Linked DNA regions of Macaca mulatta. The protein of the gene in region 1 purifies or fractionates together with the protein of each later gene. This does not show direct contact. Links are inferred from orthologs where the notes say so. Each region holds a gene or a part of one and is shown on either strand. Other genes may lie near its edges. The genes, in order: EEF1G and EEF1A1.

What was found.
Region 2: the proteins of EEF1G (region 1) and EEF1A1 purify together in Homo sapiens (affinity purification with mass spectrometry; 5 studies listed by BioGRID and IntAct, counting the BioPlex papers as one, with this or other methods). This does not show direct contact. The link is inferred for Macaca mulatta from reciprocal best matches to the Homo sapiens genes EEF1G and EEF1A1.

Annotation. Positions count from the first base shown.
Region 1 is NC_133419.1:11,492,426-11,496,866, forward strand, and holds the start of EEF1G (elongation factor 1-gamma), read left to right. Parts: upstream 1-1,537; 5' UTR 1,538-1,546; coding exon 1,547-1,558; intron 1,559-2,618; coding exon 2,619-2,777; intron 2,778-3,475; coding exon 3,476-3,539; intron 3,540-3,690; coding exon 3,691-3,833; intron 3,834-4,261; coding exon 4,262-4,405; intron 4,406-4,441. Other genes in the region: TUT1 (speckle targeted PIP5K1A-regulated poly(A) polymerase), read left to right, coding at 1-297. UniProt on the Homo sapiens protein: Probably plays a role in anchoring the complex to other cellular components.
Region 2 is NC_133409.1:112,150,844-112,155,407, reverse strand, and holds the start of EEF1A1 (elongation factor 1-alpha 1), read right to left. Parts: upstream 2,850-4,564; 5' UTR 2,837-2,849; exon of another isoform or gene 2,199-2,836; intron 1,891-2,198; 5' UTR 1,861-1,890; coding exon 1,717-1,860; intron 1,363-1,716; coding exon 1,183-1,362; intron 1,063-1,182; coding exon 766-1,062; intron 683-765; coding exon 532-682; intron 445-531; coding exon 188-444; intron 91-187; coding exon 1-90. UniProt on the Homo sapiens protein: Translation elongation factor that catalyzes the GTP-dependent binding of aminoacyl-tRNA (aa-tRNA) to the A-site of ribosomes during the elongation phase of protein synthesis.

The DNA.
Region 1 (4,441 bases):
GGACGGCGGCGAGCCCGTAGACGCTTGCAGCAGCAAACCAAGGCAGGAGCCGGAGGTGGTGCTGGCACAGGAGCAGGGTGGCTGGCAACTGAGGCTCAGGTCACCCAGGAGCTGAGAGGACTGAGTGGTGGCGAAGAGAGGCCAGAAACTGAGCCCCTGCTGAGCTTTGTGGCGTCTGTCTCCCTGGCTGACCGAATGCTCACTGTGACCCCGCTCCAGGATCGCCAAGGCCTGTTCCCTGATCTCCATCATTTCTTACAGGTTTTCCTCCCTCAAGCACTTAAACATCTGAAGTGAAGACATGGCCCCTAAAGGGCAATAAAGCTGCTAGTTTATTAATACAGAGTCTCCCGTTTCCTTTCATTTCCATCTGGTCATAATGCTTCGCCTCCCCCAGAACTTCATGAAGCTGCTCTCCTCTGACCCCGAACATGGGTCTCTCCCTACTGCTCTCCACCCCAGCAGCCTCTCCTTCCTACAGTTCGCACAGCTTGCGGGGAGTGCGGGGGCAGCACCGTGCGTGGCACCTGGCACCCGCGCAGAGTTCCTGAATGGCAGAGCGGTGGGTGGCTGGAACAGTACTGAGAAGAGCCAGGTTTGCCTCCACATTCTTCCTGCCGCCTCAGATTAATGGGGACAAAGATGGAGATTTGCGTTCAGGGTTCTTCATTCTCTCCTTTAAACGAGGAGAGTTCATCCCGTTCTTAAACTGGGTAAGAGATTTCAAACCTGAACATGAGTCAAAAGCCATGAATATCAGAAGCGACGATGTCGGGTCTTCCAGCGTCAGCCCCTCCAGGGGCCGAGTCCGGAGGAGGCGGGAGGGACAGGGCGCGTTCTCCCTCGTGTCCCTGCCCTGCTTCGGGCCGGAGGGCCGGTGTCCTTGCTCGCAGTAACAGCACCCTGGAGCTGTAAGGGGTTAGATGTGAGCAAACGTCACTTTGGCAGGCGGGTTCAGACCGGGGCCCCTGTTAGACACTCATCCCTTTCTGGAGGAAAAGCAGAGCAGGAACTAAAGGATATAGCACACACACTGCCACCTCCGCGCAGCAGTCGTTCCTCGCTCCCATGAGTTTCACAGAATCATGTGAGGGGCTTGGCAGAACCTACCATCGAGTCACTCGTCCCTGGGTGGGCCAGAGGGGGACGCCCCCAGCAGCCTGACGGCGCCAGGCCAGCAGCGGCGCCACGTAGCCGAGAACCGGCGGCTTTTCCAGCGGGTTCTCACAGCTTCCCCGCCCTCCACGCTGTCTACCTCCACGTCTAGACTCCAATTGGTCCGCTGCACCTGAGGGGCGGGCCAGTCAAGATCTCCAATGCGCAGGCGCGAGCTTTTTCCGCGCTGGCCAGCAGGCCCCACCCACTCCGTTCTTTTTCCAATTCGGCGCCACTGGATACCGAACTGTCGTACGTATGTCTTCTGTGTCGTCCTCGCTTTCCGGCTGCTGTTTCTCCACGGCTCTCCCCTTTCCCCCTCCTTTCTCTCCTGGGCGGCTTACTTTGCGGCAGCGGGGAGAACCCCACCCCCTTTCTTTGCGGAATCACCATGGCGGCTGGGGTAAGTTTGCCGGCGCTGGTGGTTCGGGTCATCCTATCCACCGCCATCCTTTGCCCGAGTGGGGCCAGTCGGCGCCAGAGGAGTTCTGAGGCTGAATGGGGAACTGATTCTGGGTCTACAGACCGTACTGCTGGAGAGCAGGGTTCCTACGGCCTGGAGGGGAACTGAGGCTGGGGCTCTCGGAGGCCAGAGGTGGAAGGGTCTGGGGAAGAGGAGAAAAGGGATGCCGAATCTGGGCCGTCCGAAGCCTGAAAAAGGGGTTCGGCTCTATTGCCGCCTTGAGGCGTAGTATCTGGGTAGGTTGACGAACTTCTGTGACCGTTTTGTGGAGTAACAGCGGGGACAGGGTGAAGAGCGGGTCTTTGTAGGCAGGTCCGGCTGGCACGGTTAAAGGTAGTCTGTCAGGGAGGTTTGGGAGCGAGAGGATTCTCCGGACAGTGAAGTCAGACCAATTGGAGTCCGCTGGCCAGCTTAATAGAGAAGGCAACGCTGGGGAACTTGCTGCGGGACAGGACCGGAGGGATGGTATGCGCGACACGGAAAGAAAGGCTTTTGAGGGAGAGGAGTTGATTTAAGAAGACGGCATGCCATCCCCTATCTCTGGCCACTCTGAGAGGAACTAGAAATCTCTCGATCGTTGTGCGTTCCTTAGAGCAGCTGAGCAGTAGAGTAGGCAGGCGCTCGGAACCATCAATGAATGAAACGAGGGCTCCGTGAAGGGAAGGGAGTATGTTTGTAGGCAGATGGAGTCTGATGGAGCTAGAAGTTCTGGATTTCTTGGGAGATAGATTTGAGGGAAAGAGAATGCTTCTAGAGGTGTCCTTAGGGAAGGTCAAATCTGTCAACAAGCTTTATTTAGCAGTTGGTGTGTAGTTCTGTTCTTGGTATTTCGGAGGATTCTGATTACATATGACAAGTGTTAAAGGACTTGGTTCACCAGAGGAAGTAAAAGGGTGAGTTGAACACATTGGGATTATTCAGGCAAGTCATCCTGGGGAGTGGCATTTAGGACTGGGACCCTAATGCTCTTATTAATTTTGTTCCTCTCTTTCTTTCATAGACCCTGTATACGTATCCTGAAAACTGGAGGGCCTTCAAGGCTCTCATCGCTGCACAATACAGCGGGGCTCAGGTCCGCGTGCTCTCCGCACCACCCCACTTCCATTTTGGCCAAACCAACCGCACCCCTGAATTTCTCCGCAAATTTCCTGCCGGCAAGGTGAGTTGGGAGATGGGGAGTGTCCTTCGGTTCTGAGAAACGAAGGCCTGGGATTCTATCATTCTGGAGATGGCCCCCATCTCTAAAAGAGAGCTTCCCATGTTATTTTCTTCAATATTTCAGTGATTTTATTTTGAGATAAATGCAGATTCACATGTAGTTGTAAAAAAAAAAAAAGTACAGAGCTATTCTGTGACTTTATACATTCACGAGTTTACTTTGTGGGAAAGAGAATGAGTTTTGACTAAGCATTTTCAGTGCAAATGTATCAGATTGTCTGTTATGGGCAGGATTCTTACCCCAAGGGGTTTACAGAGATAGGTGAAAAAACATGCTAAGAATGGAGGAGATGAAGTACTATGTGGATCTGGGTCACACACTAATACTTGCACTGATACATTGATACAGGAGTTACTTTTGGTCTTCTGCTTGTTTGATCCAGAGATTTCATACAAATATCTTGTAATATTCAAATCTATTGTGCTTCCTAGTTAACATTGTGAATTCAGATTGCAAAGGATGCCCAGCTCTTGAAGTATTTATTTATGGTTCTTGAGTATCAGATAGTATGGAGAGTTTGGATAGTGAGGATCGTCAGTCTTACATAAGTATTTTTATCCAAAGCAGTTTGGCTTCTGGTATTGGGTAGGGAGAAATTTTGTGTGTTTTACCTTATCTTTTCACTGCTTTGTCCCCAGGTTCCAGCATTTGAGGGTGACGATGGATTCTGTGTGTTTGAGAGCAACGCCATTGCCTACTATGGTAATTTGCAGGGGTATATGGGAATGGGAGAATTTGGAGGTGAGGGTGTACAAGAGGGTGTGAGCGGGGATGGATATGAAGGAATTCTTCAGGACCTGGACTGGTGTTGGCATTCCCCCAGAGTTCTGACCTTTGTGTTCTGCCTCTGCAGTGAGCAATGAGGAGCTGCGGGGAAGTACTCCAGAGGCAGCAGCCCAGGTGGTGCAGTGGGTGAGCTTTGCTGATTCCGACATAGTGCCCCCAGCCAGTACCTGGGTATTCCCCACCTTGGGCATCATGCACCACAACAAACAGGTGAGCCTTGGAACTTTGGGAGAAGCCAGGGGCAGGGGTGGCCTTAGCTCCTGGGTGTTGGGAGTAAGAAATAAAATAGGTTGAAAAAAAGGTGCCAAGGATATATAGGCAATGAGAAGACGTACTTTCTGGGGTACAAGTTTGAAGTAGTGGGCAGTTGATGGAGGAAGTGTCTGTCATGAGTGGTCACAAGAGGGATTGCTGCTGTGAAGAGATTATACCAAATGGTAAAGGGGGTGGCTGGACCAGAGGACCTCTAAAGTTCCTTTATGATATATTTAGAATGATCCTAGGGTCTGTCTCCATTGAAAGAGGGTGAGGGTGAGCTCAGACTTCTAGGTGAAATAGCCTTCTTAGTTCTATTAATTGGGGAGGTGAGGGAAAGGGATTGGTACCCACTGATGAGTTTTATCATGTTGAATCACTAGGCCACTGAGAATGCAAAGGAGGAAGTGAGGCGAATTCTGGGGCTGCTGGATGCTCACTTGAAGACGAGGACTTTTCTGGTGGGCGAACGAGTGACATTGGCTGACATCACAGTTGTCTGCACCCTGTTGTGGCTCTATAAGCAGGTGAAGTTTATGGAGAATCTATTTGGCAGAGGGTAG
Region 2 (4,564 bases), on another chromosome or scaffold:
AGCAAACTTGCATGCAATGTGAGCTGTGTGGCAATCCAACACAGGGGCATAGCCAGCACTTATTTGGCCTGGATGGTTCAGGATAATCACCTTGGAAAAAAAGATTTGCGTTCAGTGTAAATCCAAAGTCTCAAATGACTTTAGCCTCTGCAATAAGGTAGGAACATGTTACTTTAAAAATTGTTACCTGAGCAGTGAAGCCAGCTGCTTCCATTGGTGGGTCGTTTTTGCTGTCACCAGCAACGTTGCCACGACGAACATCCTTGACAGACACATTCTTGACATTGAAGCCCACATTGTCCCCAGGAAGAGCTTCACTCAAAGCTTCATGGTGCATTTCGACAGATTTTACTTCAGTTGTAACGTTGACTGGAGCAAAGGTGACCACCATACCGGGTTTGAGAACACCAGTCTCCACTCGGCCAACAGGAACAGTACCAATACCTAAAAATATTTACAGCATACTAAATACCTATGAAGGAAGATAGTACTCTACCAACTCAAATTCAACTTTGTTGACACCCAACTTACCACCAATTTTGTAGACATCCTGGAGAGGCAGGCGCAAGGGCTTGTCAGTTGGACGAGTTGGTGGTAGGATGCAGTCCAGAGCCTCAAGCAGCGTGGTTCCACTGGCATTGCCATCCTTACGGGTGACCTTCCATCCCTTGAACCAAGGCATCTGAAACACAACCATGCCAATTTGTGTAAGCATGAAATCGCCATTCCCAGAGCTTTTTAACAACGGTCTTGAAAGCCACTTACGTTAGCACTTGGCTCCAGCATGTTGTCACCATTCCAACCAGAAATTGGCACAAATGCTACTGTGTCGGGGTTGTAGCCAATTTTCTTAATGTAAGTGCTGACTTCCTTAACAATTTCCTCGTATCTCTTCTGGCTGTAGGGTGGCTCAGTGGAATCCATTTTGTTAACACCAACAATTAGTTGTTTCACACCCAGTGTGTAAGCCAGAAGAGCATGCTCTCGGGTCTGCCCATTCTTGGAGATACCAGCTTCAAATTCACCAACACCAGCAGCAACAATCAGGACAGCACAGTCAGCCTTTAAAGAAAGCAAAGACATATCCCTGTCAACTCTCCAAAGGACAAAACCAATGCACAAGACAGGCATTTCAGGGAAAAAAAAAAAAAAAAACAACCTAGAATTATTAATCCCACCAACCTGAGATGTCCCTGTAATCATGTTTTTGATGAAGTCTCTGTGTCCTGGGGCATCAATGATAGTCACATAATACTTGCTGGTCTCAAATTTCCACAAGGAGATATCAATGGTGATACCACGTTCCCGCTCAGCTTTCAGTTTATCCAAGACCCAGGCATACTTGAAGGAGCCCTTTCCCATCTGTAAGGATTAAGAGTTGTTACTTGGTTACTAACACACAAACTCCAGCTTCAATTTCTTTGCCCCCAGCCCTTAATTGGCACATAGTTTCCACTTTACAACTGCAAGTCCTAAGCAATTTTAGTCACTTAGATAGGGTTACAGAAGCAACCAAAAAGCAAACTTTTTAAAGTAGGATCTTGACTATTAATATCCAAATCGAAACTACTCACTAGCAATACGGTTACAGAAGTAACCAAAAGCAAACTATTTTAATAAGTAGGGTCAGATCTAAACCACTCACTAGTTCTGGGGAAATCACTACCACTTAATGATTCTGCTGGTAAAACTCATTTTAGTTCATCTTTCCCATACCTCAGCAGCCTCCTTCTCAAATTTTTCAATGGTTCTTTTGTCGATGCCACCGCATTTGTAGATCAGATGGCCAGTAGTGGTGGACTTGCCCGAATCTACGTGTCCAATGACGACAATGTTGATATGAGTCTTTTCCTTTCCCATTTTGGCTTTTAGGGGTAGTTTTCACGACACCTGAAATGGGAGAAAAAAACTTTGAACCACTGTCTGAAGCTTGAGAATAAGCCAAGATCCAAATTCGAAAAGGGCAAATTCCAAGGAGAATTACATCGAGCGCCAAGCTGGCCTAACTCTTCAGTCTCCACCCACCAAGTGTGGGGAAACTCCACCGCACAAAACCCCTCCCCCAAACCTAAGGAAGACGTACTCCAAAAGCTCGGAGAACTAATCGAGGTGCCTGGACGGCGCCCGGTACTCCGTGGGGTCACATGAAGCGGCGACCGAGGAGGGAAAGGCCCTTTTCCTTTGTGTGGGTGACTCACCCGCCCGCTCTCCCGGGCGCCGCGTCCTCCATTTTGAGCTCCCTGCGGCAGGGCCGGGAAGCGGCCATCTTTCCGCTCACGCAACTGGTGCCGACCGGGCCAGGCTTGCCGACCAGGGCGGGGCGACACACCGCCGCGCGAGGCCCGGCACCAGAGCAGGACGGCCAGCTTGAGACTCCCCCCGTCCGACTCTCGGTGGCCGCGCTCGCAGGCCCCGCCTCGCCGAACATGTGCGCTGGGACGCACGAGCCCCGTCGCAGCCCGCGGCCCCCAAAACCCCAATATCAGTGTGCAGATCCTGGTCCGCATTTATAAGATTATCTCGCCAGGAAAAAGGCGTTGCAGCTGGTCATCAAAAATTTTAAATGGCTAGAAACTTAGTGAAAGCAGCGGGGCAGGCGCGAAGGTGCTACCAGATTCGCACGCGGCAGCCCCAGAGCCCAAGCCAGGCCTCGACTCAAGCACGAGGCGAAGGGACTCCTTAAGTGCAAGGCCTCGACCTCTCCCACCCACTTCCAACCCGAAGCTCGGGATCAAGAATCACGTACAGCGGCCAGGGGCGTGTAAGTAATAAAAGGCACGCGAGGGCCATAGCCCGTAAAGAGGCCAGGCCCGCAGGAGCCACACACAGTACTTACCTGTGTTCTGGCGGCAAACCCGTTGCGAAAAAGAACGTTCACAGCGACTACTGCACTTATATACGGTTCTCCCCCACCCTCGGGAAAAGGGCGGAGCCAGTACACGACATCACTTTCCCAGTTTACCCCGCGCCACCTTCTCTAGGCACCGGTTCAATTGCCGACCCCTCCCCCCAACTTCTCGGGGACTGTGGGCGATGTGCGCTCTGCCCACTGACGGGCACCGGAGCCTCACGCATGCTCTTCTCCACCTTGGTGATGACGAGAGCGGGCGTGTGAGGGGGCGGGAACGCAGCGATCTCTGGGTTCTAGGTTAGTGGGAGTTTAACGACGGTCCCTGGGATTCCCCAAGGCAGGGGCGAGTCCTTTTGTATGAATTACTCTCAGCTCCGGCCGGGGCGGGGGGGGAAGAGGAGGGGGAGGGGGAGGCGACGAGGTGGCGGCCTGGAAGGGACGTCCAGAATCTTTCCTCTACCATTGCTAGCTTAGCCCCAAAGGTTGTGTTGAGATTAGGGTGTACCTTCGCCCCCCAATCAGCCTCCTGTCCTCAGCCTTGCTATCTCGCTAGTCCGTGACAAATCCCTAGAGCGTCGTCTTCTGCCGGTCTCAGCCCAGCCCCGGGTTGGCTCCTCCTCCGCCCCGGCTTCCGCGCCCCTCCCGCGTGGCAAGGAGTACCAGGCCCGGGGACCCCGAGGGGCTTGGGGCGAAGGGTCTGGACTGGAGGACTCCTTAACGGCTCACGGACCTGCGAGAGGTTCGGCTCGATGGCCGTGAGCTCGACGAATCCGCTCCTGTGCTGGCCTCTTGGCTCCTTCCATTCAAAGCCAGCTGCTTTTATCAAAGCCCGTAACACGTCATCTCCCCCTGGTACTCCAGATGTCCAGGCTTTCAGTTTAGAATAGACTCAGTCCTACAGTTAGCTTTAGATCTAATTCTAGTTTTGTTACGCCAAAAAGTTCCTGCGAGTGTGTGTGTGCCTCATGGTACTTTTTAAATTAAAAGGTGTACAGTCATTTGATTGCAAACATAAGGAAGCTAAAAAGCTTTCAAATTCAGATTTTCCACGTGATCTCATGTAGAGACTAAGATCTACAGCATCAGCAAGTTTATCCACCCAGTTTCCTAACCCCAACACTTGCTATGAAGTCACAGCTTCTCCTATTTAAATAAGTGCCTATTATATTTAAATAAGTGCTTTCTTTTTCTGTCATCCTATAGATTGTAACTGCATTTTAGCATAAATCTAGGGCAAGATTGGATGAGCTTGGCCGTTTTGGATGGCTATCAAGACAGGCCTTGGGAAATGCTCCTCTGAGGAATGAAGAACGTTTATTTTTAATGAGCTAATTACTAGATCATTATGTTTCTTCTTCCAGCTGTAGAATATTACTGCCCAGCTTCTCGAACAAACTTATTTATTAACAAGTATTTGAGAACCTACTATGTGGCCAACGCTAAGTACTGTGGAGTTCCTTCTGGAGAGGAACCCACAATCAAATTGGAAGAGGAAAACAAGTTGGGAAGCAGTTAAAGGCAAACGCGTATGGTGCTTTCTTGGTTTTTGTATCTTTGTAGTATAAAGTTTTCCTAGTCCATTCGGTTTTCACAGTCCACTTTTTTTTCCTTCTTTTTTTTTTTTCCGGATGGAGTCCTACTCTGTTGCCCAGGCTGGGGTGCAGTGGCGCGATCTCGGCTCACTGCAAGTTCTGCCTCCCAGGTTCAAGCTAT